2 linked regions of the Elephas maximus indicus genome follow. The protein of the gene in region 2 binds, or shares a complex with, the protein of the main gene of each other region. Links are inferred from orthologs where the notes say so. Each region holds a gene or a part of one and is shown on either strand. Other genes may lie near its edges.

What was found.
Region 1: the proteins of PDPN (region 2) and CLEC1B are in contact, whole or in part, in a crystal structure (PDB 3WSR), measured with the Homo sapiens proteins. The link is inferred for Elephas maximus indicus from reciprocal best matches to the Homo sapiens genes PDPN and CLEC1B. Residues at the interface, in NP_006465.4 of Homo sapiens: Ala46, Glu47, Asp48, Asp49, Val50; in NP_001380271.1 of Homo sapiens: Arg107, Phe116, Arg118, Arg152, Thr153, His154, Leu155, Arg157.

What each region holds. Positions count from the first base shown.
Region 1 is NC_064822.1:67,300,477-67,316,687, reverse strand, and holds the start of CLEC1B (C-type lectin domain family 1 member B), read right to left. Parts: upstream 9,117-16,211; 5' UTR 9,011-9,116; coding exon 8,947-9,010; intron 8,920-8,946; exon of another isoform or gene 8,631-8,919; intron 8,326-8,630; coding exon 8,230-8,325; intron 7,184-8,229; coding exon 7,064-7,183; intron 6,904-7,063; coding exon 6,752-6,903; intron 5,152-6,751; coding exon 5,036-5,151; intron 2,831-5,035; coding exon 2,754-2,830; coding exon of another isoform or gene 2,686-2,753; exon of another isoform or gene 2,424-2,685; intron 709-2,423; coding exon of another isoform or gene 639-708; exon of another isoform or gene 617-638; intron 1-616. UniProt on the Homo sapiens protein: C-type lectin-like receptor that functions as a platelet receptor for the lymphatic endothelial marker, PDPN.
Region 2 is NC_064821.1:52,778,274-52,794,353, reverse strand, and holds the start of PDPN (podoplanin), read right to left. Parts: upstream 7,033-16,080; 5' UTR 6,810-7,032; coding exon 6,743-6,809; intron 1-6,742. UniProt on the Homo sapiens protein: Mediates effects on cell migration and adhesion through its different partners.

The sequences.
Region 1 (16,211 bases), on a different chromosome or scaffold from region 2:
ATAAAGTTGTGGCAAGGTTAAGGAAACCAACAAGGGATGGTGAAATATGCATTGGAAAGCTGATGTCAACCCTAGGCCTGAAGGATCAAGGGGAGGGTAGTTATTGGAACATCATGAGGACAATTGTTGAGGACCCACCTGACAGGGATTGTGGTCTAAAATATAGAAAATGCAGCCTTTGCCAACCTGACACATGGTGGGGAGAGACCCAAGGAAATAAATACCCTGACTTCTCCCCTCCCACCCTGTGATCCCCTGCCAGTGCCTCCCGTTGGCTGAATTAACTGGAAGCCAGAGACCAAGTTTGCCCAGACAATGATGTTCATTTGCATTGGGCCTCCTAAGGCACAGGGTAGGGCTGAGAGTATCTAGAAGGACACATGGAGTATATCCAGCACATTCTCCAAATATTTCATGTGATTTTCATGTGACCTGAGATTCTGGTCTAAAAAATAATGCACCTCAACTCACTTGGTGTGTGCTTTGCAGGCAATTCTGACTCCTAGTGACCCCATGGGACAGAGTAGAACTGCTGCATGGGTTTTCCTAGGCTGTAATCTTTACGGAAGCTGAAAGCCAAGTCTTTTCTCCTGAGGAGTGGCTAGTGGATTCGTACCTTCAGTCTGTCAGTTAGCAGTCTAGCACTTAAGCGTTGCACCATCAGGGCTCCTACTTAACTCCCCAAGGCCTTTAAAAATAGGATAATTTCTATGGAGAAGAAAAAGAGGAAGTGATCATAATTGTATCAAATGCTCACTGAGACTAATATCAGGAAGATGGGAACGGAAGTTCTGTAAATTGTTAGTTTCCAGTTGTTCTCAAATTTTATCAGCACTAAAAATCAGGCCCAGAAAGATTAGCTTTTCCCAATACGGTATACACTCTTATAAATTTCTAAGGGAACAATTGGATTCTTCCAATAAAAACATGAATATGTTAATCATACTAAAACCAAACCCGTTGCCTCGAGTCAATTCCGACTCATGGCAACCCTACAGGACAGAGTAGAACTACCCCAAAGGTTTTCCAAGGAGCAGCTGGTAGATTCGAACTACTAATCTTTTGGTTAGCAACTGAGCTCTTAACCACTGTGCCACCAAGACTTCGGTAATCATAACCCATGCCTTATGGAAACCAAAACCAAACCTGTTGCTGTCGCGTCGATTCTGACTCACAGTGACCCTGTAGGAAAGGGTACAACTGTCCCATAGGGTTTCCAAGGAGCCGCTGGTGGTTTCGAACTGGCAACCTTTTGTTTTAGGAGCCTAGCTCTTAACCACTGCCCCACAAGGGCTGTGTAGCCTTATGAGCAAAGTAATAATATTAGACTCATGGACAAGGAAATTGGGTTTTAAAGAGGCTAAATTACTAATCCAAAGTCACATATGAAGCAAGTTTTAAGGAGTTTTTCTTGAAATGTCTTAAAGACTTTATATCAGAATCCTGTGGAGGTGCATGTTAACTACACAGGTCTCTGGATCTCCTCAGTCTTCAGACTGCTTACCATCAGTACTCATTTGTATGTGGATATCTGCAAGTTTTAATGAACACCTCAATTGAGATGTTTGAGAATCATTTCTATAAATTTTAATCTCACTAATGTAAGATGACAGAGCACCATCACGGCATCTGTGGGTAAGAAATGCAATTGTTTGCCTGTTATCCTGTTCAAACGTGCCTCTCCACATGGTCTATAAATACTTTCTGAGTTATTCAGCAAAAACCAAGGATAAAACTGCTAGAAAAAGAACCAGATAAGGCATTTTTACTTGCTTCTGGGCTTACCATCCATGGTTCTTCTTAGAGTATTTTTACTTGCTCTTCTGTCTACTAGAAGCATTTACTCATTTTACAAAGACCATGAGGTTTCTGACAAACTTTATTTTTCCTTCTGCAGAGAAAATTATTGCTATTGAGTTTGAGCAGAGGTGAACTTGGAATTGTAATGATATTTGTAGAGTCCTTTTACTAGTTAGTTTCTAGTAAATTATCTTATTCAATGAGAAGCAATTTTTTTCTGTTCCCCGTGAGCCAGGAACTGTGTTGGGTGCTGGACACAGAACAGTGAATAATAAAGTCATGGCATTTGCCTTCACAGGGTGTCTGGTATGGTTAACACCCCGAAGCTTGATTTTAGGTTGTAGAATCGTGAGGAATATAAGACAGAGTTATCATTCTACTTTAAATATGTGAAGATAGAAGTTAAAGAGGCTACTTGAATAATCCATGATCATATTTCAGCTAAGTGACCACACCATCTAAATTATTCTACTGATTTCAAATTCAGTACTCTTTCCACTATCTTATGCTGTCTTTCAAATGCAGACATTTTTCATAGCTTAAGCCAATTAAGCCCTAACCTTTTACTGTTCCAAGTTTAATTTTATACGTTAACGTCTGAATATAGAATGAATCATACAAAGTCCAGATAATGAGGAATGAAAGACAGGAAGAAAGGAAATTAATGGAAAGCAGAACAATTGGAAAGCAAATGATCAACTCATAGAGCTGACTTGTGGATGTATAAAGAAAAGGTTAAGTGATGTTGGATACAAAGATAATATAAAGGTGGCTCCATGCTGAAGAGAGGGAGAAATAAGAAATTTTATGGCTTGTGATTCTTTCATCAAGGCTTTTTATTGTATAATCAATCATTTGTCTGTGATACCCTGTTCATCTCTCTCATTAAAGTAGTTTGTCCACCTTTGCCATCCCAGCTTTCCGCTCACATATTAGATAATGTTTGTTCTTACAGAAGGAAGGGTGGATTTTCCCGTTATGAAAATAAGCACAATTCATGTTTTCTCTTCCATCTCCTGGAAGTTCAGGCCTATAAATGGAAAAGGTAGAATGAGTTTACTTGAAAGCTAAATAAATAATCAACAATCAAACCCTGTGTGCAGAATTTTGTGGCAGAAAGTGGAACCAATGAGTAGGGGGGAGTATAAACCAAGATCCATGCAACTGAGAAACTTCCAATATGCTTGGGAGTGGAAGGTATACACCAAAAAAAAAAAAAAAAAACCCACAGCCATTGAGTCGATTCTGACTCATAGCAATTGAAAATTTCAATACCAATTTAATATACAATAAATTTAAATAGTAAGTGAACACTAGGCTCAATAGGAGTCCAGAGGAAGAGATGGATGTGGGTCTGAAAAGGTGAGTAAAGGCTTTATCTAGAAGATGAGGCTTGAGTTCTGTCTTGAAGCAAGAGTAGGACTTAGGTAAGAGGAGACAAGTAGGGTGTAGATAAGATGGGAGGGCCTGGCAAGGCAAACAGCTGCACAAGATAGGAATGAACTCAAGGAAAAATGAGTTGATTAAATATTTTTGAACTGAAAATTTGTTATAGGGTAGTAGATAAAAGACAACACATTATATTATAATTGGCTATTAATCTGTCTGTATTCCTTGTTAGGGAAACCCTAGTAGCATAGTGGGTAAGAGCTACGTCTACTAACCAAAAGGTTGGCAGTTCAAATCCACCAGGTGTTCCTTGGAAACTCTATGGGGCAGTTCTACTCTGTCCTGTAGGGTCGCTATGAGTCGGAATCAACTCAACAGCAACAGGTTTGGTTTTTTGGTATCTCTTACTAGATTCCTTATGATGAAACGCCAAGGAATATATATGTACTAATCTATTTGACAATACCTATGGAACCCTTCCTATGTGCTAAAGTTGTGTATGTGCTGAGGATATGGTGGTAAACAAAGAAAGGTTTTTTTTCTTGGGGAGGTTATGTTATAGTAGGAGGATATTGCTAAGAAGCCAACAAATAAACAGATAAAATAACATCAGAGAACTGGTAAAATTGGTGAAGAAACAAGAGTATGATATGATAGACCTTGATTGGAGTAGATACCAGGGAGGCTAATTTAGTTTGAGAGATTAGAATTACTCTCACTGAGGAAATATTATTTAAACAGAGGCTTGAGTGACAAAGGGAGCCAGTTACGGAGTTCTGGAAGCAGAGCATTCTAGGTAGAGGGAACAGCAAGTACAAAAGCCCTAAGACAACTAAGCAAGACTGATTTGTCGATAAATAGAAGGAAGGCCAGTTTGTCTAGAATATTGTGAAAGAGTTAATAAGTGTTAAGAGATAAAGCCCAAGACTTAGAAAGAGGCTTGCTTGTGATCTTAATGTTCTGACCCTACAGTAAATAATAACTATTTGGTGAATAGTTAATAACTTAAGTTGTTCTCACGTTATAGATTTTGAATGTAGTTTATATTTGGATTAGAGAGACTTTGCAGCTTTCATATATAGGTTGAATAGACGGTGGTAGGACTGAAAAGCCATATTAAAAAATAATTGCCCAAGAGTTGATTCAGACTCACATCAACCCTACAGGACAGAGTAGAACTGTTCTGTAGGGTTTCCAAGGAGTGGCTCGTGGATTCGAACCGCTGACCTTTTGGTTAGCAGCTGAGCTCTTAACCACTGTGCCACTACAGCATAAAGAAAAGGCATATTAGGTAACTCCTAATGCAATTGGCCCTTTTGGCTGGATTGCCTCTAGCAGAATGGAGCCTTTTTACATGAACATTAGAATTTCCTTGTGAACTAAAATATGACTGATTCTTGGAGATGCCTAGGTTGGGAAAGTAGGCAGATGACACTGAAAAGTTAAAGGGACCTCCAAGGCAAAAATTTTCAGCCATAAGATAATGAGGATAATAATTTTGTTTTAAAAATATGTGAAGACAATTATAGAAAGGAAAAATGAAAACATAAAATGCTTCAAAGGTAAAGTTGAGGGCAAAAATGGATGGGAAAAAAAGTATGAAGAATACATGTGAATTGTGGTTTAGATAAAGAGAAGAATAAGAGCATGGGGAAGGTTGAGTTATTTTATTACCAGTGTTTTTTTGTTGGAGTAGGGCATGTGTGACTCAGCTGCTGTTTATGTAACCCATAGTAAGATATAGAGCTCCTCTCAAATTATAAGTAACTTGCACTCAAGAGGGAAGGGAATCTCAGAAACAAAAATTGCTAGCAGTGCCTTGAACTCTGAATGTTCAGTGACTTACATATTTTTGGAGAAAACTGAGCCAACTGAGCCATCTTCCCACATCCAGACTCCATTAGAGTTCTGGCGAGACAATCCTACCCAACGTATCAAACCAGTCCTGGCTTTGATATACTCCTGTTGTAAACACAAATAAACATAAAGGTCAGAATGCCTCCAAAGCTCTTGGTGATGACCTAAAGACAAAGTTTCATGATAAGACCCTTGACAAAAAGAAATGTTGGATTATATGTTTATATTAATATTAATGCATGCACCACCAGGGCTCCTTATATTCGAGACTTAAAATTGTACCAAATTGGCTTGTTTTAGAATTAAAAAACAAATAAACAAACAAAAAAACCCTTTATATTTATAGGGCATAAGAAAAATTATATACAAAATATCTAATATTCTAATCTTCTTCTGTGTTTATATGATTATATCTTCCATCAACTGAAGATTAGAGTATCAAAGAGAATACCAACTATGACCCTGAAATGGAGTAAACAGTAAATGACTGTAGTCCTTGGGTGGTGCAAATGGTTGATGTGCTGGGTTTGAGGTTGGAGTCCACCTAGAGGCACCTCGAAAAAAGATCTGGCAATTAAAAAAGAAAAAAAAAACCATAGAAAACCCTGTGGATCACAGTTCTATCTGATAGACACGGAGTTTCCAGGAGTTAGAACTGACTTGATGGCAACTGGTAAACGACTATAGAAAAGGAAATCATCGTTGTTAAGACTTTAATGCCCCAGAAGTAAGCTTTATCTGAATTTATTTTTTGCTTAGATTGTCTATAAAATCTTTCATGTAGAAGTTATAATTTGTTTTAGTTGATGGGTTAAAAGAGAATTACATGGTATTTTTCTCAAATGGATTATAAATAACATTCATCTATTTTTTCTTCTTAGCAATTATCACCATCAGGTGTGTGTGTGTACTATACTTTATGAATGGAGCCCTCATGGTGCAGTTGTTAAGTATTCTGCTGCTAACTGGAAGGTGGGCTGTTACAATGCACTAGCTTATTTTAGGGAAAAAGATGTGGCAGTCTTTGTAAATCTTCTGTAAAGATTTACAGCCTGGAAAACTTATGGGGCAGTTCTACTCTGTCCCATAGGGTCGCTATGAGTGGAAATAGACTCGATGGCACACAAAAACAACACTATACTATATCTATTTGTTTTGTTTATTGTCTGTAGAATATAAATTCCATGAGATTAGGAATTTTTGTCTGTTTTAGTGACTGCAAAGCTTCAAATTCCTGGAATAGTTCTAACATATATTTGTTGAATTAGTACATAAATCAATTAACCTCTCTCTATAAACCAAAACCAAATTCATTGCCATCGAGTGGATTCTGACTCATAGTGACCCTGTAGGACAGAGTAGAACTGCCCCATAGGGTTTTCAAGGAGTAGCTGGTGGATTTGAACTGCCAAGCTTTTTTTTTTTTTTTTTTGGACTTTCGGATTCTGTTCCAAGTTAGTAAATAGAGGTAAGGAAATTGAGAGAGGTTAAATTACTTACAGAAAAGATAAGACAAGACCTCAAAGTCCCTTGAGCCCTAAATCAGCACTTTCTACTCTCAAATGTTGTCATTTTTACTGAGCTTGATAAGGTTTTTAGATTAGCACAGACTGAAAGACGTAAGAAAAATATAAACAAAGCCAAATGTTACATTTGAGAGTTTCTTCTCGTAACTCCAAAACATTTGACCTAAGAATCTCCTTACCAGAATGTTCTGGCTGGCAATCTTCGGAAGAGTAGCATTCACGCCAGAGCAGTACTGCTTACTCTCTTCCCATGTCAAGTTGTGCTTGAAGAATCCATAGCAACTATCCCCATAGTATCTCCAGTTTTTGTCACAGGGGCTGCACTTATGGCCTTAAGGAGAGATCAGGCATAGGAACCATTTCATTCTAAATCAGGCTTACATTTTCCCCACATTCAGTGTTTCCCGCAGATCTCAAGATTCACTACAAATACCAGCACAAAAAAATACTCTGGTGTTAGAGGAGATCAAGAGTTACCAAACCACACTTACTGAAATTTTCTTTTTGTTCAGATTGTTTTATTAAATCTTGGCAGAAGCGCTTTGCTAATTGTTGCAGAGTTCCTGAAAGGTTTTCATTCTCAGCTTGTAGGAGATTCTGCTGTGTGACAGCTAAATGTAAAAATTAGATAATAACAATTTGTAATCAGGACCTTAAGTGTGACGCAAAGGCTTTTCAATAAACTTTCATTTTAATAGAATTGCCGTGCTATGAAGTGTTTACAAGGTACACATAAGTAAATGATACCTACAAAGGGATATGGGCAAAGGGGAATATTTTAAAAATATATATATAGAAAACTGACACTTGAGAGTTATCTAATAAAATGAGTGAACTCTTTAAGGAGAACAGTCACAAATAAGAAAATCTCATGAACAAATACACACCTAAAGCAATTGTTTTGACATTTTATTAAATGCAGGTTTCTAAACAGTGTTAACAGAAGTGAACACCTCTGCTATTTTCTGCTCTTAATGTCATACCAGAATATTCATTCACTGAAAAAAATACATACTGATTTCATGCTATGCCCAAAGTACTATGAGATTCAGGTGTATGAACGATCGTGAATGAAAGATTATTAAATATCTCATGAAAAAAAGAAAAAACAAGTATTCAAACAATCAAAAACTACCTAAAGTAAAAGGTGACATTGTAGGGCTATTAGGTTTACAGGAAGAAAAAACAATGTTTATCAGTTAGGTGGGATATGAATTGTCTCTTAGAGGAAGTAAGTAAATTTGTAAACAAAATAGGAAGGAAGGTATTTTAAGAAGCGGGAATAGGATAGGCAAAATTTCAGGCAGGTAGATACAGAATTTATTTATGAAATTGAGAAGACCCTGGTTTGGCTGGATCTGAGGATATGCAATGATGAAAGAAAGATTTCAAAATATAACTTGCATTCATACTCAAGAGAATCTTAAAGGCTAGTTTAAAATTCTTGAAAATAATTTTTAAATTTTTAATAGATAAACAGTTTAAAAAGTGATTTTGATCAAGAGGTAAAGGCCAGAGAAAATCTTGGCAACTATATATATAGTATGATTGGAGTAGTAACAAATGGAAGGACAATTAAGAAACTTAGTGTGATATACCAAAACCCTTAGGTATTGCCATCCTCAGACCAAACCCTTGTCAGTGAGTCAATACTTACACATAATTCTCAGAGCTACCAGCCCAACAACCATCCCTGTGCACAAGATCAGAAGAACAAAAGCCATCACACGCCACAAAGAGGACACAGGGTCAGCTGTGGACATACAATAAATATGTCAGGGAGCAGTAATAGGGCATGGCTATGGGACAGTGTCACCTGTGCCCCAGCCTCTTGGAATTTTCCAAGATCTTGCCTGTGTTCCTTGTTGATCATCAACAATAAGCACAACCCACTCCCATACCACACATCCATCCCCATCACCAATGGACTTCCCCTCTCTGAGCCAAAATATAACCCAGCTGTTAAGACATTATTGTTTGTTTTGTTTTGTGTACACTCCCCTTCCCCCCCATAAATATTCTTTAATAGGCAACTACTTAAGAATTATACCCACTTACTAGGATCCTGGAAAATGGTGGTTTCCAAACATTCCTTCCCCTGTTACCCCATATCCTTCACTTCAGCACCATCCAGCATTAAACTCTAGGAGCCTTAATGCAAGTTCATTATTATGTCTCCTGTGTTGTCTTTCTTCTAAATAAGTCTGAGTCTATGTAAATACTACTAAGGGCTATAGAGAAAGAACATCATTCAGGAAAAACAAAACAGAACAAAAAACAAAGCTGTATGTATTATCTCTAGTAGAAAAAGGGAAAACAGAGTTGACTTATTTTACTAATTAATTTCCAGATTTTTGGTTCTGGGCATTCTTACCTGAGGTGAAAGCTGATCTTCGAGTTTTAATATTTAAGGCTACGTATCCATCTTCATCCTGCATGGCCTCACTTGGACTGCAAGTGAGCTCAGGGGTCCAGTGACTTGGCAAAATGTAGTGTCCACTCTTAAGATTCCAAAGTCTGTCAGTCTGTGATCCTCCTCAACTGGGAGAGTGGAGCCGTATGAGTTAGGACACATGTTTTGTTTATTCTTTTTCCAGGAAGCCCTTTCATAGTTGTTCAGAGATACATGGACATTGAACATAAAATAAATAAATAAAAAGCAAAAATAATAAATTGTGGTAAAGGAGTAGATATGGCATTTGTTTCCTGTTTCCTCATCTTCAGCTTAAAGTAAAGAGATATTCCAGCATGTGTATCCTTTCAAAGAACCAAAAATTTTTCTGAAGTTCATACTTCATCTTAACCCTGTTGTTGTTGTTAGGTGCCATTGAGTCGGTTCTGACACATAGTGACCCTATGTACAACAGAACTAAACACTGTCAGGTCCTGCACCGTTCTCACTATCGTTGCTATGTTTGAACTTATTGTTGTAGCCACCATGTCAGTCCATCTCATAGAGTGTCTTCTTTTCTGAGGCCCTTCTACTTTACCAAGCATGATTTCTTTCCCCATTGACTGTTCCCTCCTGATAACATATTCAAAGTACCTGAGATGAAGTCTCACCATCCTTGCTTCCCTCATAGAACCTAAATCATATTGTTTAAATGAAGTGACTTCTGTGGAAAATCATGGATAAAACACCAGCAGAAGAACATGTCTAATATAATTTGATCAAATACTGCCTAAATTAGAAATTCCATGGTCTTGTATTGGAACGAACTATTCATAATTATGTCCTAGAACTCATTCAAATTCTTGTATCTCTAATAAATCAAATTTTCAAAAAATTTAGGAGTCCACATAGGGCTGGCTTTATACGACTTAGGTTTAGGCATTGAAGGAAAACAGACAAATAAAATGACACTATCCGGAGTTAATGACTTGCTGTACTATCAAAAAAATCAAACCCATTGCCATTGAGTTGATACTGACTTATAGTGATTTTTATAGGACAGAGCAGGACTGCCCCATAGGGTTTCCAGGGAGTGGCTGGTAGGTTCAAAACAATGACCTTTGGGTTAGCAGCCTGAGTTTTTAACCATTGCACCACTAGGGCTTCAAATTGATGTATAGCCCTTCAGTAATATTTTTACTTTGCAGTGAATTTCTTGGAATGGAAGAATCTTAATTCAGTAGAATCACGCAAGTTCAAGTATAGGGTGCCTGGATGAAGAACTATTTGGGGACTGGGTGGTTTCCAGTTCCCTTTACCTCACAATATAATAGTGTATTCCACATATTACCTTTATTAATTAGGCTTTCAAATTATTATTTCAGCTTATGTTGAAAGTAGTTATTTTGTCTTCTCCCCCGCCCCCCAACACACACAGCCCTTTTTCCTTTTTTTTTTTTTGTTCAGGGAACTGTACCTGAAAAAAAGTTCTTTATTCCAAATTTTTGATGAGTCTGAACTTGGAATAAAAACCTTCATTCATTCAACAGTTTAGAGATTAAGAAGTCACTCTTATATAAACCATCTCTTTTATTTTAAACAAATAATTAATGAATGTTCAGTATGCATCAGACACTGTAATTGGAGTTGAATATTCATAGAGAAAATCATAGTCCATATCCACTTGGTGCACAGAGTCTTAAATTAGACAACACACTATTTTCGTTAGACTATTTAGAACAATTTCTTCACACTCAAACATACCAGCCCACATTCCCTTCCCTCTTCCTTTCTTCACTTTTTTCCACAGCACTTATCACTATCTGACCCACATAGAGTCTTTTTATATATTTAAATCTTTGTCATTTATCCCCACGAGAATGTATTCCACGCCTCTATAATGGAGATTGGCAGATCGTTTCCACCCAATAAGTATTTGTTGAATGAATGAATATATGTACAATGGGCATTACCATGCTAATTTTATACATGTAGAAAGAGACATTTAAGGTATTTTGGGTACTTTTCTATGTAAATAGAAACCCTGGTGGCACAGTGGTTAAGAGCTATGGCTACTTACCAAAAGGTTGGCAGTTCAAATCCATGAGGCACTCTTTGGAAACCCTATGGGGAAATTCTACTCTGTCCTTTAGGGTTGCTATGATTCGGAATTGACTCGAAGGCAATGGGTTTGTTTGTTTGTTTGTTTCTGTGTAAATAGCAGTATAATTTACCCAGGTTTCAGGTTCTTTCAATGACATTATGATGTCTTTCAAATTTAGGCATTGTCCGACTCCATTGTCTATGTTTATGCTGAAGAATGGATGAAAAGTCACTAGGATCACAATGATAAGGTATAAGTGCAATAAGCAAGGAAATTACTGGAATGTAAAACATTGTGGATGTCACTGGTCAATATACAATGATGTGTAAAAGAGACAAGAAACTGATGCTTCCTACCTACTACAGGTGTTAAAATAATGGCTTCCAATTGAAAAAAAGGGATGTGAACATTTTGTAGCTGGTGATAGCTTGTTATAGATCTTTTAGTGTACACCTCCTTTAAGGTAAAGTCTTGGGTGCATGATCAGTGATATCCTATTCTATTATCCATCCCTCTGCATTAGTATTACTGGTTCACCTTTGCCTTGCCAGTCTTATACACACATATAAGTACTTTAATTTTATGTTATTAGTATCCAGATTGAGTGAATATAATTTTTAAAATAAATTTCATCCCATAATTATCCTCTTGCTCCTCCTTGTGGCCATTTTTTTTCTTTCTGATTTTAATTTCTTCTTGTGGCTGTCTGCATGTGTAAGGTTTTACAGCTTTGGAAGTCCAGCGGGGCGGTGCTACTCTGCCCTATAGGGTCACTATGAGTCAGAATCAACTTGATGGCAGTGGGTTTGGTTTTTTTGTAGGTTTTGGTTGTTTTCTTTGGATCCTTGATACCTCTGGATTGAATATTTACTCCTTTTCCTTTTTGTAAATAATTTTGAATTAATTCCTATTCTGGCCATTCTCCGGGTGCTATTCAATCTGCACCACTTTTTTTAAATGTTCTCTGAAACAGGCATACCTTGTGGGAATGGAATGATCATTGATAAACAGTGAGATTATAGCTTCCTGTAGTATAAACTCAGCATTTCTTTAATTTGGCTTAAATTGGCAATACTTCCATATTTAGTACCTGTGTTTCTGTGTTCCCTTATTTTCCACAGTGAACAAGATTTTCTGATGTATTTATTCACGTGAGAGTAAGAAGAGAAGCCAAGATGTTTCCAAGTTTTTGGGTGAGGAATAGCAAGTAAGGAGTTTCGTTTACTGAGATGAGAAAGCTTTGATGGGACACATTGGGAAAAGGCTGTTTGTTACTGGGTATGTTAGGTTTGAAAATCCTATAACGTATATAAGTAAATATGCCCATCTGTAGTCAGATATATGGGCCTGAAGATCAGTTCCTGGAGTGCAAATATGAATTTAGAGTTATTAGTGTGGTGTAGCAGTTAAGAGCTATGGCTGCTAACCAAAAGTTTGGCAGTTCAACTCCACCAGGCTCTCCTGGGAAATCCTATGGGGCAGTTCTACTCTGCCCTATAGGTCACTATGAGTCGGAATCAACTCGATAGCAATGAGTTTTAACAGGTTAGTGCATGTCTGCTACTTTAAGCCATGAATGTAGAAAAGCTCATTCAAGGACGAATGTAAACAGAAGACAGAGTGTCGCGGACTGAACTCTGGGGCACACCAACATTTAGAAGTTGAAAAGCTAGTGAAGAATTATCAAGCCTGGAAAAATGGGCAGTGAAGTAAAAGGAAAACCAGGAAAGAATGTTGTCTTGAGGACCAAAGTATTTTGGAGATAACCAAACCTGTTGCTTTCAAGTCGATTCCAATTTATAGTGACCCTACTGGACAAAGTAGAACTGCCCCATAGGGTTTCCAAGGATGGCTGGTGGATTAGAACTGTTGACCTTTTGGTTAGGAGCTGGGAGCTCTTAACCACCACGCCACCAAAGAAGAAAGATATTAACAAATGCTGCTTATAGGTTAAGTAAGTTGAAGTCTGAGAAACAGCCATTTTATTTGCTAATGTGGAGGCTAAATGGTGGCTCTGACGGGAGTGATTTTGTAGGAATAAACCAGTTGCCAACGAGCTCGTCCAGATCACGGTGGCCCCATGTATGTCAGAGCAGAACTGTGGTTTTCAATGGCTGAATTTTGGGGAGTAGATTACCAGAATTTTCTTCTGAAGTAGCTCTGAGTGGACTCCAACCTTCAACCTTTCAATGAGCAGCCAAGCAAGTTAACTGTTTGCACCACCCAGCGATACCTTTTGGAGATACAGTTATTGCAAACGCTTGACTAGAGTGAGGTTCAGGAAAAGCAGAAAGAAACACAGCAGGCATAGACAGCTTTTTGAGCACTTCTACTGTTAAGAGAATTGGAGAAATTAGAGAAAAGGGGTGATAGTGTGTGTGTGGTGGGGGACAGTGAGGAACAAGGGAGGTGTTTTTGTTGTTGATGTTGTTTTAATTCCTGAGTTTACCTGCAGTTCTCTCAAGCAGTAGATATTTTCTTGTCCACACATCATCACACATCTTGTACTGCTGGGCCTGGCAATGAATTAGGTCATCTGCTTACTCCTCACTTTTGCTTTTATACCTTTTTCCCTTAAAAACTTCCAACATCTTTTTAGCTCATTTTATCAGATTATACCATAAGATAACCCACTTTATAATTCACCTACAAAGATATTAAAATCACCGGTGATTATGACAGGAGTAGAGGCGAGCAAGGAGACATTAATAAGTTGAAAATGATGAAGGAATGTTTCAGAATTTGGCAGATGATTGCAACAAGATGAGTTAAACCTCAGACTTGGGAACAAAAAAAAGGCTTCAGTTAGAGCAAGAAAATGAAAGGAGTTTAGAGTGAAAAGATTGAGATAAATATAGTGAAGTTTGCTGAAGACTGCCTGTATGATCTGGAAGGTACAATTTACGAGTTTGAGGTTAGAGAGGGGTATCAGATTAGGGGATTCACAGAGGCTTCAGGGTACAAAACAATCTGAAGGGTCCTCATATCCAGTGTTCCATATGAATATCTAGTTATTCCAACACTATTTGTTGAAAATACTTTCCTTTCTCTGTTGGATTATTTTGGCACCTTTGCTGAAAATAAGACAAACATATGAATATGGGCGTATTGTTGTTGTGTGCCATAGCGTTAATTCCAACTCACAGTTACCTGATGGGACAGAGTAGAATTGCCTCATAGAGTTTCTTAGGCTGTAATCTTTATGGGAGCAGATTGCCAGGTCTTTTCTCCTGTGTAACCCCTGGTGGGTTTGAACTGGCAGCATTTTGGTTAGCAGCCAAACGCTTAACCTTTGTACCATGAGGGCTCCTTTTGTGTATGTACATAAGGGGATTTATCTGTGGGCCTTGTTCTGTCCCATTGATCTATTTGTTAATTCTTATTCCGATATCCCACTATCCTGAATACTGCAGGTTTATAGCAATTCTTGAAGTCAGATTGTATAAGTGCTCCAATTTTCTTGTTTTTAAAAATGGTTGTTTTGGATATTTAAGGTCCTTTGCATTTCCATATTGATTTTAAAATCTATGTATCTACTTTTTAATTCTAGGACTTTTATTGAAATTGAATTGAATGTACAGATAAATTCGAGGAAAACTATTTTAATGGTATCATTTTTCCAATTCATTAACACGGTATATGTCTTCATTTATTTAAGATCTCTTTAGTCATTCTCAGCAGTGTTTTGTAGTTTTCAGTGTAGTGATCTTGCAAATATTCTGTTATATTTTTTCTAAGTATTTTATGCTTTTTGTGCTATATAAGATGATTTTTAAAAAATGCCTCATTTCTAGTTATTTACTGCAGGTATAGAAAATGTTTATAGAAAATACAATAAATATTTGTATATTAAGATTGTATCTTGTGATATTTTTAATTTTATTGATTAGTTCTGGAGCTGTTTTGTAGATTCCTTTGGCTTTTCTATGGAAAAAAAAAAAAAAAAAGCATGTCATCTGGAACCAGAGATTGTTTATTTCTTTGTTTCCAGTCTCTGTTTTCTTTATTTTTACTGCCTTATGGCACTGGTTAGGATCTCCGATACAATTCTTATAAACATACTTAACATCCTTTCTTTGTTCCTGATTTTAGGGGAAAAATGTTCACCATTTCACTACTGACGTTAATACCAATCAGAAATTTTCCATAGATGCCTTTTATCAGATTTGGAAAGTTACATGGTATTCCTACTTTGTTGAACATTTTCTCATAGATGGGTGTTGAACTTTGTCAAATACTTTTTCTTCATGTAATAAAATCATTATATGAATTTCTCCTTTTTTCTGAGTAATTTTTTTAGTGTTAAACCTTGCTTTCCTGGGATAAACCCTACTCCATCATTATTATCATTTTAATGTATTCTTAGACTTCACTTACTAATATTTTGCTAAGAATTTTTGTGTGTCTATTCATGAGAGATATTGGCCTTTATTTTGGTTTTCTTGCAAAGGCTGTGAGGCTTTTTGTACTATGGTTACCCTAACTTCATCAAACGATATGAGGTTTACGAGTGATATGTTCATATCAATACGTTCCTGCTCCTGGGTTTTCTTAAAGAGTCTGTGTAAGATTGGTGAGATTTGTGTAATCATTTGATAGAATTCATCACTGAAGTCATTTTGGCTTAGAGTTTTCTTGTGGGAGAATTTGAAAACAAAATTAAATTTCTTGAATACATATAGGGCTACTCAGATTTTTTGTTTCAACTTCTGCTAACTTTGGAAAGTTGTATATAATTCAATAAATTTTTCTATTTTATCTATGCTATTTTTTTTTTTTTTGGCATGAAGTTGTTCCTAATGTATTCAGTTTATCTTTTAATGCGTAAAGGTTCTATGATGTTAACTCCTCCTGCATTCCATGTTATGTCATGGAGACTAAATTCTGTTATATTCTTCTGAAGAATGTTGTTATTTTTGTTGCAGTAGGCCATTAACTTGGTTGGACTCAAACTTCAAACTTCGTCTCTTGGAAAGCAGCTTAAATCTCAGTCCCATTCTTTCTGTTTTAGCTGAGCTACCTGCAGTCTGAAGAGCCTCGGTGGAACAGAGGTTAAAGCGCTAGGCTGCTGAGTTTGAGCCTGCAAGCAGCTCCGTGGGAGAAATATGAGGCATTCTGCTTCTGTAAAGATTTACAGCCTAAT
Region 2 (16,080 bases):
CATGGGAGAAGTCAGCACAACATGACCAAGGCAAGAGAGGACGCTGAGAGAGATGCAAGAATAAAGGGCAACTACCGAAACTACTATCTGTAGCATAGACAATCCTGCAACAGTAGTATTAACAAAGGAGAATTTACGAATGGATACATAGGTAGATAGATATGCCAAGAGGTGTGGGAGGGTATAAGGGAGCACATCCACCAGCAGATTCAGGTTTGGTGGTGGGTATTTCTACATACATGACTGTAGGTGCTCCTCATATGTTAATACAGACAACAGAGCACACAAGGGATACAGTCAGGGAAAATGCTTAGACATGACCAAACACCTCTCGGGATGAAGTTACTAGGCTCGAAGTCAAAGGACCATACACTCAGGGGACATCTATGTAGGCTTTGCAATAGCTCAGGCGTTTTTTCCGAGTCCCCTCTGAGTGGACTCAAACATCTAACTTTTGGTTAGCAGCCAAGCACATTAACTCTTTGCACCACCCAGTGACTCCGTTATTATATAGTTACTGTTAATAACACCACCATTAATGATCCAGTTCCCTTAGCTTTACAGATTCAGAAATTTAATCTTACTGTGGGTTGATCCAGTTCAGATGAAAATAACATTAGTCAAACTCACAAAAGGGCAGAATACCACACAGTTTAATTAGAATGAGAAATCAGTTTTCCAGTTTTTTAATACACACACTGGCTATCCAAATCATGAATTCTCAGTAGCAAAATATGAGATGCTGTTCAGTACACAGAACAAAAGCCAAGGATGAGGCTGTTTGATGGAATACATTTTCAGACCGATAGAGCTGGGACTCCTGATTCAGACCCGCCTTTGCTGAGATCAGAACACCCACGGCCATCAGACAGAACACCTTCCATGCCAGCTTTAAGCAGAGACAATGTTTGCCTTGCTCCCCATTGCCCCCCACTGCCTGACTCACAGCAGCTGATAAATATTTGTACAATAAATGAATTTCTTGGGCAAGTTTAACATCAACAGATTCTTGTTCCTTTGCTGTCCCTTTTTATATTCTAGGCAAACCGCCTCTTCTCCTTCGGGCAGGATGTTATTCATTGAACCACAGCTTTTCTTACATCAAACCAAACCCCAGTTGCTGCGAAGTCTATTCTGACTCATGGGGATTCCAGGTGTTACAACACAGAGCTGCTCCGTAGGTTTTCTTGGCTGTCATCTTTTTTGGAAGCAGATCACCAGGCCTTTATTCTGTGGAACCACTGGGTGGGTTCAAACCCCCAACCTTTAGGTTAATAGCCGATCATAAAGTGCTTACTCTACCCAGAGACCTCTTTCTTACATTAGTTGCATTTTTTTTTCCTCAATGGAGTCATCTTGACAAATTTTGGGAAATACCCTCTTCTTATCAGTAGTACATTTACAAATCTTCTAAACAAGCCCTCTCCTGCTCCTTCCTATGGTCTGTGTAACTGGCATTCCCCTCTTTTTTTTCTTCCAATTGCTACTGAGTTGGTTCCAACTCATGGCAAGCCCATGTGTATCAGAAAAGAAATAGTTCCACAGGGTTCCCAGTGGCTGATTTTTTGAAAGTAGATGGCCAGGCTTTTCTTTCGATGTGTCTGGGTAGACCACCAGCCTTTGGGCTAGAGCCAAGTGCTTAACCAGTTGCACGACTCAGGGACTCCTGCCATTCTCCTACATACTACATATATGACAATTATTGCCCATGTGTGATGTCCTCTCTCTGCGGCCCTGGAACCGTTTGCTGCTCTGCCCCTCTGACCAAGGTTCAAGAGTACCTCTTCCTGCCAGAAAGGCGATCATCCTTTAGGTAGTTTCGCTGCATTAAATTCAATGTTGTAATAACTTATCCATATTCAGCTCCCCAAGCAACTATATGAATGAGCTGGCCACGTTTGTAGGCTTCCTCCTGGACTTCGCTTGATCCAAGGACAAGCCCATCTCCTCTTAACAGTTGTCAAAGGCACTCAGCCAGCCGAGAAGGAGAAACAGCCCATCCATCCGTCCCTTTCTGTTGAAGGGTAAAGGAATGCTGAGCAGACTGGCTGGTGAGCACTGAGGCTGGACACATGCAAAGGAAACAGTCACCTGGTTTTCCTGTCTTGGGTGAACTTGGCAGAATCCTAGTTGTTCCCTAACCTGGCTCCATCTCCTATTGTTGTGAACCGCCCTTGAGTCGGGCCCCCTACTCACAGCGACCCCATGCACAACACAACAGAACAAAACGTCTGCCTGCTCCTGCACCATCCCCATGATCAGTTGCAGACTGGACCACTGTGATCCTAAGGTTTCCAATGGTTGATTTTGAGAAGTAGATTGCCAGGGCTTTCTTCCTAGTCCATCTTAGTCTGGAAGCTCTACTGAAACCTGTTCAGCGTCATAGCAACACACAGGCCCTCGCTGCAGGGAAGCCCCCACTTACAGAGAGGTGGTGGCTATGCATGAGGTGCGTTGGCCAGGAGGAATCGAACCTAGGCCTCCCACATGAAAGGCGAGAATTCTACCATTGAACCACCACTGCCCTCGCTCCATGTCCTAACAGTTGGATAAATTATCTAACCATTTGCCTTTCCCAGCAAATTTTAGGAAATCAGTAGGGAAAGGCTTCAAAATTCCAATCAAACCCAAACCAAACCCACTGCCATCGAGTCGATTCCAACTCACAGCAACCCAACAGAACAGAGTACAACTACCCCATGATGTTTCCAAGGCTGTGATCCTTACAGAAGCAGACCGCCTTATTTTTCTCCCAGGGAGCAGCTGGTGGGTTCATACCACCAACCTTCTGCTTAACCATGGGGCCACCAGGGTACCTTAACTCCAATCAAGAGGAGCATTATCTCCTGCCCACCCCTCTGGGAATCCTAAAACAAATCTCAGTTAACTATTCACTTGTCTTTATAAGTACACAAACCACCCTCATGCCTCAAGCATTTCATTCTCCTTGAACAAAATGCTCACGCTGGTATTTCCTGGACAGGTTTCAGTGGCGACAGGGAAGGCATGGCTTCCTTAAAGAATCTTGCAGGATCTTATTCAGACGTATCATGTGAGTTTCTCAAGGGTCGTTCTGGGTATCGAGTCTTCTCTCCCTCCTTGTCCTCCCCCATAATACTTCCAACAAGTTGTAACCTGACATGCCTGTTCTTTGGGCCAGAAATATGACAACTATTCAGATAAGCCAGTGGAATTTAAAGTGCAGGTTCACGGCTTTGGCGCTTTATAACATTAGGCGTGCCTGCCTCTAAAGTGTACAGAGAAATAAACCCTGCAGCTAGTAACATACCAAGCACTCAGGAGATAGTTAATAACAATTTGTGGGATGAAGTAATGAATTCCATTTTAACGTAGGGGGATATTTTTACCCGTAAAGGATTATGGTATTTAATGTAATTTTTATACCTTTAAAAAATGTTTTTATAAGTTAAAAATTTTTTTGTTTTCATGTGTAAGGAGCTTAAAGTGAGGTTAACTTTTAATTTCAAGTTCAACCTTTGGTTTTCTTTAAGACAGCGTAACGGAGTGAAAAGAGCTTGGTGTTTGGAGGCAGACCCATTTCTGATTCCCAGTTCTGGCATAGTTTGAAGATAACGTATAATTTACGGGACTTGCAATGAGTAAATGAGGTGGCCTGTGACATTCCTGCACGTGGTGGGAGACGGGAATGGGAGGGGCGGGGTGGCCTTCCTACCAGGCCAGACCATCTGTTGTCATGCAAAGGTTTGGGGTCTTCTAATTCCCTGGTAAAGAGTCACTCGGAGTCCCTGGGTGGTGCAAACGGTTGATGCGCTCAGCTGCTAATCAAAAAGTTGAAGGTTCAAGTCCACCCGGCGTTCCCTTGGAAGAAAGGCCTGGTGATCTACTTTGAAAAATCAGCCCTTGAAAACTCTGTGGAGCACACCTCCACTCTGACACAAGGGGTCATCATGAATCGGAATCGCTGAGATGCCGTTCACTTCAGAGGCCAGAAAAAATGAGAAGAGGCCGTATCCCTCAGGTTCAACCCACTTGGCCACATCTACACTTAGCCTTCTCATATTTGGATACTTGTTTTTTTTAATGTGCTTTTCTGTATTATAGGGGCTCTGGTGCACAGTGGTCAAGTGTCTGGCTGCTAACCAAAAGGTCGGCAGTTCGAATCCACAGGCCGCTCCTTGGAAACCCTATGGGGCAGTTCTACTCTGTCCTATAGGGTTGCTATGAGTCCAAATCGACTTGACAGCAACGAGTTCTATATTATATGATAATTTGGATCTCATTTACCAGTGTAACAGCTAGGTCTCCCTCACGAAGCCTCTAACAGACCTGTTCTTTTTTAAAGGCTTGCTCCACGGCTAAGTGTAACCGAAACTCTCACCAGCTCATGATGATCTCCAAAAAAAGAAAAAAAAAAACAGAAAACCCAACCCATTGCCACCAATTCCAACTCACTGAGACCCTATAGGACAGAGCAGAACTGCCTCTTGTGGTTTCCAAGGCTATAATCTTTTTGGGAGCCAAGTGCCACATCTTTCTCCTGTGCAGCAGCTAGTGGGTTCGATCAAACCTCCAACCTTTCGGTTAGGAGCCGAGCACACAACCACTACGCCACCAGATCTCAGGGACTCCGAAATTGGCAAATATTCCCGGGAAATCACAGGGAAATTTGTGTGCTGCATGATTAATCTCGGGTGGCTGGGTTCCGGAAAAGCACATGTGTGTTTGCAACAAGCAGCAGCTTGCAGAATCTCACAAAACAAACTGTTTCATGGAGAGGCCCTGAGGTCGGGGTTTTGGACTGAAGTTCAGAGAGTGGGGCTTGGCAATGGCAGAAAATGCCAGATGAGCGGACAACGGATCTCCTTTGAGTACACTAATATTCAAAGAGACGGCACCCTGAACAAGATGATAAAATGGAGCCAGAGTCTAACACAGCATAAGAGAAGCCCAGTAGGGTGCAGGATCATATGAGAAGGATAATAAAATTCATCACAATAATTACCCCCAGCCCAGGTCCCCAACAAGCACCAACAATAGCTCAGCTCAATGAAGTTATTCATCCATATTCAAGTCGCCTTGCTCATTATCTGCAGACAAAAACCCCGCTGGGGCCTCACTCCTTCCAGGCTCCCGGCAGCCCTCCCCACAGTCAGCAGACCTTCTTTCTTCAGCAACCCCGTTTCTAGAACCAAACGCAGCTGTTTTTGCAGACAAGACTTAACACCGCCTTTTAGGAGTACCTTGGACATTCAGGAACGGCTTTAATTACAACTAACCCTTCCCTGGGAGAGAAGCGAGGGTGATGCTCAGCTGCTGTCCTTAGTGGACCTGGGATGGGGCTCCGTTTGGGGGGCCTCCCACACCTCTCACTGGTGAGCACAAAATGGTGTCATCTGCACATTGTCTCACCAAAAAGGAAATGCAGTTGATATACACAACTGTATATATTCCAGAGGAAACAAGAGTTCCAAAGATAGGACTGCAGGAATAGCCCACGGGCCATAAAGAGAGTCCATTCTTCCCCACGCTGTCTAGCACAGAGTAGGCAACCTGTATAATTTCTGTAAGGTGGGATATTTTTGTCTCTGCATGGAATTATAGAAACCTAGGTTAGGTCTGCCCCCTCCATCAAACTCTTCCCTCCAGGAAGGATCCTTCTGAGTCTAGGTCTAGCTCACTCTTCAATTTGCACAATGAAGGTGTTTAACTTTTCAGAGCCCAGCTCACCACCCTCCAACTCCAAGCATCACTAGTGGGCTAACCATGCCTTCAACCTACTTAGTGAACCCCTACTACGTGCCAGACACCATTTTGACCCTAGGGATCAAGACTAGATGGAGCTGTGTCCTCAGGAGCTTCTACTCTACCTGGCAAACCAATAAAAATAAAAACCAAGGTAAAAATAAAATATTGACCACTGATCATGGATATCACCAGCAGGCTGGGCACAAAGAGGAAAGGGAGGTGAAGGAGATGTAAGAGGAAGAGGAGGAAATGGGAAAGGGAAGAGGAAAGAGGCTGGTGATGGGGCAGGTAGCATCCCTCCTCATCAAAATCTTAAACATTTAAAGTTATTTAAAGAAATCACGACATTAATTCAGTTATTGACATCGGCCAGACTCAATATGTGGCCCCAAACGAATTTAAACCTCAGGTTTCACAATCCTTCACTCGTTCAGGCTACTCAGTCAGGAAACACTTTGGCTCTTTCTGTCCCCTCCACACAGCTATCCTCATTAGCTGAGGCCTCTTCCAGTACCTGCCCAGCGATGGGCAGCATGGAGTGTGTCTGCATGCTGGCCCACAGGGTGTTAAGACCTGGCAGCCGAAAAAGAGGAAAAGCAGGAAGAATCCTCCTCCCTTCTCACCCCGCCCCGCCACCTCAGGTCCCTCTGGACTCCCGGTGCCAAATTTCCTTGGCCGCGGTAACCCTCCAGTACACAGCCCTGCGGGAATGCCCGGTCTCCCCTGCCACGGAGAACGGCTTGCTCCTGTTATCTCCAACCCAAACTGGCATTGTGAGCTGAGCAGGGGGTGGCAGGAGGTCAGCTGAACCAGAGCGAGGCCCCTCTGCCCCCACCTTACGCCCGTGGCTTGGGGGCCCGCTCATCTGCTTCTTTGAGGCTCTGCACCAGCTTCGCACATACACCCGCAGCTCCTTCCGCTCTCCTGGGCAACCTCACAAACCAGGCAAAGCCTTCCAGCGAGTCTCAGATCATTCCCACCAGCAATGGAAGGTATCACTCGTGTTGGCTCTTACCTCCTTCTGCCAGGACCCAGAGTGACGCGCTTCCCAAGATGAGGAGCAGAACCGGCACCTTCAACATGCTTTTAGTTGGCTGATTCTCTTTGGGGCCGAGAAGCTAGTGTTTGTGCTGCGCAAAGATAAAAAGCTGGTGGCCCCAAGCCCTCGCCTGAAGGACCAGGAGAGCGGGATAGGAATGCGGGGAGCAAAAGGCCCAGAGCAGGAGTCCCCAAGCTTCCTCCACTGCAACTAACGGAGGAGCCCGCCTTAAGGAGAGCAAACTTTGCAGTTCAGAACTTTCCGAGCGGAGTCAGCATTTATCTCTCCGAACGAGGGCGGGGAGCGGGTCCAGTAAGGTGGTCCCAGACCGAGGCGCACTAGGACCGCCCCCCGGCTCTGCTTGGCCGCCGCTAACTCGATGATCTCAGACCAGGTTTAAAGTTACAGGCCGGCAGCTGCGGGGGCTACCAGGACGCGTGCGAAGCCCGAACCCTCCCCAAATTGGCTTTTATTTTGACCAACAGCGGGAGGCAAGGGGAGCGCCTAGGTGGGGCGGGGGAGTGCTATGAGCGGTTCTTTCTGACTCTATTTGTTGTTGCATTTTTTAAGAGTAAGGCATCAAGCTGTGTTTTTCTTGCTATGTGCTGAAGCGAGAAGTCAACGGTTCCTTGTGTGGCCAGTCATTTTAGATCCCGGCATGGGATGGTTCCTGTAAATATTGAATTTGATGACTAAAGAAAACCAAGGCAGGCGTTCTCATCTGGGTGGGCCAGAGGCGGCTCGGGCTGCTAAATTGCCCCCTTGTCCCGGGCGCCCGGAGCGGACAGGCGCTGGTGGGGAACTGTGCGCACGCACTTGGTGGCTTGGGCCGTTTTGAAAAACACTGAGCAGGGACCCGCCTCTCCTGGCCCTGGATGCCGAGTTTGGCAGATGCAGTGCCACACGGGAGGTGCAGCGTCTGAGGAGGCACAGCCGCAGCCGGAGACGTCAAACGGGACCCACCTGGGCACCAAGCCTGCTTGTCCACTTCTCGCTCGGGCTCCTCCTCCTCAAGTCTGGAGTTTGGCCACATAATCTCTACTTTGCTTCTTTAAACAATCTTGTCATGAGCTCAGGTATGAGATGTTAGGAACAGGAAGAGAGCATATATATATACATATATATATAAGAGTTCGGAAGGCAATAAAGTAAATATATAAGTAATATATATGCATTTACTGAATATAAAAGTATAGGAGGTCTGGTGTCGCAGTGGCTAAAGCGCTGGACTGCAAACCCAAAGATAGGCGGTTGGAACCCACCAGGTGCTTGTGGGAGTAAGATGTGGCCTCGGCTTCCTTTAAGATTTACAGCCTGGGGAATCCTAAGAGGCAATTCTACTCAGACCTATAGGGTCGATCTGAGTCTGAAACGACCAACAGCAGTGGGTTTCGGGTACAAATAATATAAATACATATTTATTTATACAGTAAAACCTGCGAAAGCTGGAACTTGGGTAAGGCAGAAACCTGTCAGAGAAGGAAAAAAATATTTTCCACTAATAGTGACAGAAAAGTGGTAAGACTGTCAAAGGTGGAAAACGTTCGAGACCCGGAAAAACAAGGCAGTCCTGGGGAGTCCCAGCTCTTACAGTCTCACCATATATTTATTTACTGTATTTTGCCTGGTGGCATAGTGGTTAAGTGCTACAGCTGCTAACCAAAGGGTCAGCAGTTTCAATCCGCCAGGCGCTCCTTGGAAACTCTATGGGGCAGTTCTACTCTGTCCTATAGGGTTGCTATGAGTCGGAATCCACTCGAGGGTGCTGGGCTTGGTTTTTTTTTTTTTTTTTTTTTGGTTTGATATATGCATATACGTAAATGTGTTTCCTTCTGAACTGTTTAAATTTTTTAAAAAATAATTTTTTTTAAAGAGTTACTGGGGACGTGGTGTGCGCTCCCAAATGTCGTAAATTCCATTCAACACTCCATAAAAAAAAAATGGTTGTTTTCAGATCCTTATCCTAGATCTGGTTTCCCAATTAACTTCATTAGGAGAATCACATGGGATGGTTGTTAAAAATCTCAGATTCTTGGGCTCTACCCCAAACTTATTGAATCAGATCCTTTGGAAACTAGCATTTTCAACTAGTCCCCCAGGAGAATTTGTCCAGGGGATTTCTGGTAAACTTTGCCCTCTGGCAGGGCTTCTCAAACTTCAGCAGGCAGGTGAATCACCTGGGGGTTAGTTAAAATGCAAGGCTGGGGTGGGGCTGAGATTCTGCATTTGTAAAGCTCTCCCAGGTGAGGGAGGCCGCTGTTGACCACCCCCAGGCTACAAAATAAAAGCCTGGAGTGAAGGGCAGAGGGAAAGTCACCCCAACCCCCTTCCCTCCAGAGCCACGGGGTTGGAAACAAAGAGAAAACTAGGGCTAGAAAAAGAGAACCTTTCCTGAACTGACTCCCCGATTTTACTAGTACGTTTCCTAAAAAAACCCCAGTGCTGTCGAGTCTATTCTGACTCGTAGTGACTCTATGGGACGAGAGTAGAACTGCCCCAAAGAGCTTCCAAGGAGCACCTGGAGGATTCAAACTGCTGACCCTTTGGTTAGCAGCGAGAGCACTTAACCACTACTCCACCAGGGTTTCCAGTACATTTATTATTACTGTATTATTCCAATATCAATCATGTTTGTGACAGGCTGGTAAATGTATTGTCTGTAGAGCCTGCTAGCTGGACAAGAGCTGCAAATCCCACCTCACTCACTCCAGTGTCACAAACACTCACCCCAGTATAGCTTTGCAAAAGCAAAACTACCTTCCCTTGGAAATTGGAGACACAAGATTAAAAAAAAAAACTGGAGCTTAAATGAAAGTTGTTAGTTGCCATTGAGTTGACTCCAGTTCATGACGACCTAATGTATAACAGAAGAAAATGTTGCCTGGGCCTGCGCGTCTTCATGATCCTTGGTATGTTTGAGCCCATTGTTGAGGCTATTGTTGTCAATCCATCTCCTTGAAGGTTTCCCTAATTTACTTTGGGCCTCTACCACTAAAGTCCCTGCCCAGCACAAATGGATAAGTGCCCGACTACTAGCTGAAAGGTTGGTAGTTCAAACCCACCCAGAGGCGCCTCGGAAGACAGGCCTGGTGATCTGCTTCTGAAAGGTTAAAACCAAAGGGGGAAAAAAAAACGTTGCCGTTGAGTCAGTTCCAACTCATAGTGACCCTGTAGGACACAGAACTGCCCTACAGGATTTCTAAGGCTGTAAGTCTTCACAGAAGCAGACTACCACATCTTTCTCCTGTGGAGTGGCTGGTGGGTTCGAACCACCAGCGTTTTGGTTAGTGGCCAAGCACATAACTTTGAAAACTCTATGGAGCAGTTCTACTCTGCACACATGGGGGACGCCATGAGTCTGAATTGACTGGAGGTCAGCTAACGAAGACTTTATCACGTGGGGGAGGATCGGTCAATCGCAGTTAACTTAGCAGGATGATTGGGGCTAGGTTATTATTCAAAGAGACGGTCCCCAGAGAGCCCTGGTGGCACAGCGGTTAAAGCGCTTGGCTGCTAACCAAAAGATCCTCAGGAGAAAGATGTGATAGTCTGCTTCCATTAAGATTACAGCCTTGGAAGCCCTCTGAGGCCGTTCTACTCTGTCCCATAGGTAGCTATGAGTCAATCAACTGTGCGGCAGTGGGTTTGGTTTTTGTCCTTTTTTTTTGTTGTTTTGGTGCCCAGAGGGAAAGGCCTAGTTTCTAGAAGGGCATCATCACCTGACCTTCTTGTAGGGGACAAAAGGGACAGGTAATGTTGCTGTGTGCCATTAAGTCAATTACGACTCACAGTAACCCAATAGGACAGAGTAGAACTGCCATATTGGAGCCCTGGCGGTGTCGTGGTTAAGAGCTCAGCTGCTAACCAAAAAGCTGGCAGTTCAAATCTACCAGCCACTCCTTAGAAACCCTATGAGGCAGTTCTACCCTGTCCTGTACGGCTGCTATGAGTCGGAACTGACTCAACAGCACCTAATAGCAACACAGGGTTTCCTAGGTTGCGATCTTTACAGAGCAGATGGCTGGTGGGTTCAAACCGCTGACCTTTCAGTCAAGCTCTTAACCATGGCACCACTAGGGCTTCTCACTGGTGGGACTCACTAGGGAGAGTTATTGGCCCTGTGAGGGGGAACCCAGGGACCAGATGCGAAGGGTGGAAGCAATGGGGGGCAGGGTGGGATGAGGGAGAATGCTGGGCGTCTGGGTGAGAAGTTTGAGCCAGGGTGCACCTGAGTGTCTCAGGTTTGGGCTAAAGCAGCTGCTGGGAAGCACTGGGGCTTAGACACCTGAGAAGGAGCCCACCTGAGAGGAGTAACGAAACAAGCGCCAGAAGTTTCCTTCCATGCTCGTGAAACAGCTGGTGCTCCTAAAGTGGCGACTGAGAATCATGTCAGACACAGGAACAAGGACAGCCATGTTCAGACCTTTGCTGTGGCCAGGATGTGCACTATCTCATTTAATCTTCAATACACCCCTGGGTTTTAGGGACATGGATAACATCCATTTTGCACAAAACAAAGCAGGCTTAGAGCAGCAGCTTCCTCAGGGTGTGTTGGAATCGCCTGGAGGGTTGGCTAAACCACAGCTCGATAGGCCCCGCACCCCGCCCCCAAAAAAACCAAACCCATTGCAGTTGAGTCAATTCCACCTCATAGTGACCTTAAAGGACAGAGTAGAACTGCCGCATAGGGCTTCCAAGGAGCACCTAGTGGATTCGAACTCCCAACCTTTAGGTTAGCAGCCGTATCTCTTAACCACTAGGGCTTCCAGGCCTCACCCCAGAGTTTCTCATTCATTAGGATGGGGTGGAGGCCTGAGGATCTACATTACTACCAGGTTCCCAGGTGATGCTGATGCTGCTGGGGCCACACTTTGAGAACCATTGGCTTAGAGTCTGTGCAAATTGTCCAGGATGATACAGCTTAAGAGTGGTGGCATCACGCGTCCCTCTGTTGTGGAGCAGGACTTGAGCCTAGGGTCAGATTAAACAGTAAACATGGTAAACATTGGCTTGCATTGAGCAAGGTACCCACGGGCTTAATTGTGTTTACTTGCTAATCTGCAGTGAGCCATTTCACATGGGTTTCACCACATCTTTGACACAGAGAGAGACAGGTGAGATTGTTTACTGCAGGTTGGTGGGAAGGCACAACTGGGCCGGTGCTTACCTTGCTTATTGTGTAATCTGGCCCTGCTTGAGCCTGTTAATGGTGCTGGTACTTCTTAAGAATTTGGAAGGAGAGATCTATAAGTTACTTCTAGGAAACAAACCAAATTGAACCAGCTGCCAAGGGGTCAATTCCAACTTAAAGTCCCTATAGGACTGAGTAGAACTGCCCCATAGGGTTTTAAGGCTGTAAATCTTTATAGAAGCAGACTGCCATGTCTTTCATCCTAGGAGTGGCTGGTGGGTTTGAACCGAGACCTTTCGGTTAGCAGTGGAGTGCTTAACCACTGAGCCACCAGGGCTCCTCCTATAGAAAGCAGGAGACCACATAAAGGGAAGGGGAGCAGGGTGCAGAAAGAGAAGGAGCCGAGCAAAGACCAGAAGAATCCAGGGCATCCACCGTGAGAGCCTCCACTCGGGGACTCTCCATCCAGAGGGCTGAAGATGGAATGGTCTGAAACATTGCAATATGGTTGTGAGGATGGCGCAGGACTGGGCAGTGTTTCCTTCTGCTGTACGTGGGGTTTCTATGAGATACCTCTGGCTCCATCTCTGATCTCAAGGGCATCCTTGTGACCTAGGAGAAAATCATACATTGGGGCACAAGCTGGGCCCAAAATGTGTTTGGCAGGAATGTGATGGGGGCCATGGGTGGGAGGTGGCACTGGACCTGAAGGAACCCCCAGCAGCTTGGTTTGCTGGAAAGAACCAGTATTTGAAGTTAACATCCAGCTCCATGGGTAGCCTCAGGCAACAAGAATCTCAGTATCGGCTTCTTTGAAATTGGGGTGAAAAAAAAAATAAATGGGGGTATTATTCCTCCCTTGGGGAGTCTCTGAGTAGTACAAATGGTTAAAGTCCTTGGCTGCTAATCTAAAGGTTGGAAATTCAAGTCCACCCAGAGGCGACTCAGCTATGGCTGCTAACCAAAAGTCAGTAGTTCGAATCCACCAGGTGCCCCTTGAAAACCCTAAGGAACAGCTCTACTCTGTCCTATAGGGTCACTATGAGTCAGAATCAACTCTATGGCAATGGGTTTTTATCTACTTCCCAAAAATCAGCCACGGAAAACCCTATGGAATGCCAGGTCTCCTCTGACACACTCCTTACCTTGGGACTTACTGCTGCCAGCCCACTCTGGATCCCTGTCCCACAACCTGAGCCCAAGTCTTCCTCTGTGAAACCAAACTACCACTCCCTCCCCCCAGTTCCACCCAGGAACTAGGGTTCTCTCCTGTGACCCCAATCTGGAGGCTGCCTCCTGCCACCTGCTGTAGTGTGTACTGGGAGCTGGCTTGGATTTCTGATGGTGACCCCCCCAGGCTACCCCACCCCACACAGGAGTGCTTTAGTGAACAACCAGCCCCTCCTGCTCTGAGTTAAACGATCTCACTCATTATTCTAGTGGGCTGCACACAGGTTTGCTCATGTACCCCCAAAATGAGCTTTGAAAAACTAGGAACCAATTATTTTTCATCATACAGTTAAACAAGTATATTTTGAAGGTAGAATATATTAAACACTTGGCTGAAAGAAATACGATGAAGATTGACTGTAACTGGAAAAAAAATTTCATTATTTGATTTGATAAAACTTACTAAATAAGGGCACTATGTAAACAATTATATAAAATTTTGGTCTGTGCATTTTATCCATCCACCTTAACAAATCCTTTTTTTTAAATAATTTTTATTGTGCTTTAAGTGATTTTTTTTAAGTGAAAGTTTACAAATCAAGTCAGTCTCTCACACAAAAACTTATATACACCTTGCTACATACTTTGAATTACTCTCCCCCTAATAAGACAGCCCACTCTCTCCTTCCACTCTTTTCGTGCCCATTTCGCCAGCTTCTAACCCCCTCAACCCTCTCATCTCTCCTCCAGGCAGGAGATACCAACATAGTCTCAAGTGTCCACCTGATCCAAGAAGCTCACTGCTCACCAGCGTCCCTCTCCAACCCATTGTCCAGTCCAATCCATGTCTGAAGAGTTGGCTTCGGCAGTGGTTCCTGTCCTGAGCCAACAGAAGGTCTGGGGGCCGTGACCACTGGGGTCCTTCTAGTCTCAGTCAGACCATTAAGTCTGGTCTTTTCATGAGAATTTGGAGTCTGCATCCCACTGCTATCCTGCTCCCTCAGGAATTCTCTGTTGTATTCCCTCTCAGGGGAGTCATTGGTTGTAGCTGGGCACCATCTAGTTCTTCTGGACTCGGGATGATGTAGTCTCTGGTTCATGTGGCCCTTTCTGTCTCTTGGGCTCGTAATTACCTTGTGTCCTTGGTGTTCTTCATTCTCCTTTGATCCAGGTAGGTTGAGACCAATTGATGCATCTTAGATGGCTGCTTGCTAGCGTTTAAGACCCCAGATGCCACTCTTTGCAGAATGTTTTCTTAATAAATTTTCTCATGCCAATTGACTTAGATATCTCCTGAAACCATGGTCCCCAAACCCCTGGAAACTTCTTTGCTTTTGGATTACTCCTGTTTCTGCTGACCTCCCCTGTATTGTGTATTGTCTTTCCATTAACCTAAAGTAGTTCTTATCTACTATCTAATTAGTTAATACCCCTCTCCTACCTTCCCTCCTTCCTCCCTCTCGTAACCACAAAAGAATGTGTTCTTCTCAGTTTAAACTATTTCTCAAGTTCTTATAATAGTGGTCTTATACAATATTTGTCCTTTTGCAACTAATTTCACTCAGCATAATGCCTTCCAGGTTCCTCCATGTTATGAAATGTTTCACAGATTCCTCACTGTTCTTTATCGATGTGTAGTATTCCATTGTGTGAATATACCATAATTTATTTATCCATTCATCCACTGGTGGACATCTTAGTTGCTTCCAGCTTTTTGCTATTGTAAACAAAAAAAAAAAATTGTAAACAGTGCTGCAATAAACATGGGTGTGCATATATCTGTTCGCGTAAAGGTTCTTATTTCTCTAGGATATATTCTGAGGAGTGGGATTGCTGGATCGTATGGTAGTTCTATTTCTAGCTTTTTAAGGAAGCACCAAATCAATTTCCAAAGTGGTTGTACCATTCGACATTCCCATCAGCAGTGTATTAGTGTTCCAATCTCTCCGCAGCCTCTCCAACATTTATTATTTTGTGTTTTTTGGATTAATGCCAGCCTTGTTGGAGTGAGATGAAGTCTCATTGTAGTTTTCATCTGCATTTCTCTAATGGCTAATGATCGTGAACATTTCCTCATGCATCTGTTAGCTACCTGAATGTTTCCTTTAATGAAGTATCTATTCATATCTTTTGCCCATTTTTTAATTGGGGTATTTGTCTTTTTGCAGTTGACTTTTTGCACTATCACGTAGATTTTAGAGATCAGGCACTGATCGGAAATGTCATAGCTAAAAACTTTTTCCCAGTCTGTAGGTAGTCTTTTTATTCTTTTGGTGAAGTCTTTGGATGAACATAGGTGTTTGATTTTTAGAAGCTCCCAGTTACCTAGTTTTTCTTCTGCATTCTTAATAATGTTTCTATACTGTTTATGCCATGTATCAGGGCTCCTAACTTTGTCCCTATTTTTTCTTCCATGATCTTTATCATTTTAGATTTTATATTTAGGTCTTTGATCCATTTTGAGCTCGTTTTTGTACATGGAGTGAGGTATGGGTCTTGTTTCATTTTTTGCAGATGGATATCCAGTTATGCCAGCACCATTTGTTAAAAAGACTGTCTTTTCCCTCATTTAACTGTTTTGGGGCCTTTGTCAAATATCAACTGCTCATATGTGGATGGATTTATGTGTGGATTCTCAGTTCTGTTCCATTGGTCTATGTATCTGTTGTTGTACCAGTACCAGTACCAGGCTGTTTTGGCAACTGTGGCAGTATAATAGGTTCTAAAATCAGGTAAAGTAAGCCCTCCTACTTTGTTCTTTTTCAGTAATGCCTTATTTATCCGGGGCCTCTTTCCCTTCCATATGAAGTTGGTGATTTCTTTCTCGATCTCATTAAAGAATGTCGTTGGGATTTGGATCGGAATTGCATTAAATGTATAGATCGTTTTTGGTAGAATATAGACATTTTCATAATGTTAAGTCTTCCTATCCATGAGCAAGGTATGTTTTTCCACTTATGGAAGTCTCTCTTGGTTTCTTGCAGAAGTGTACTATAGTTTTCTTTGTATAAGT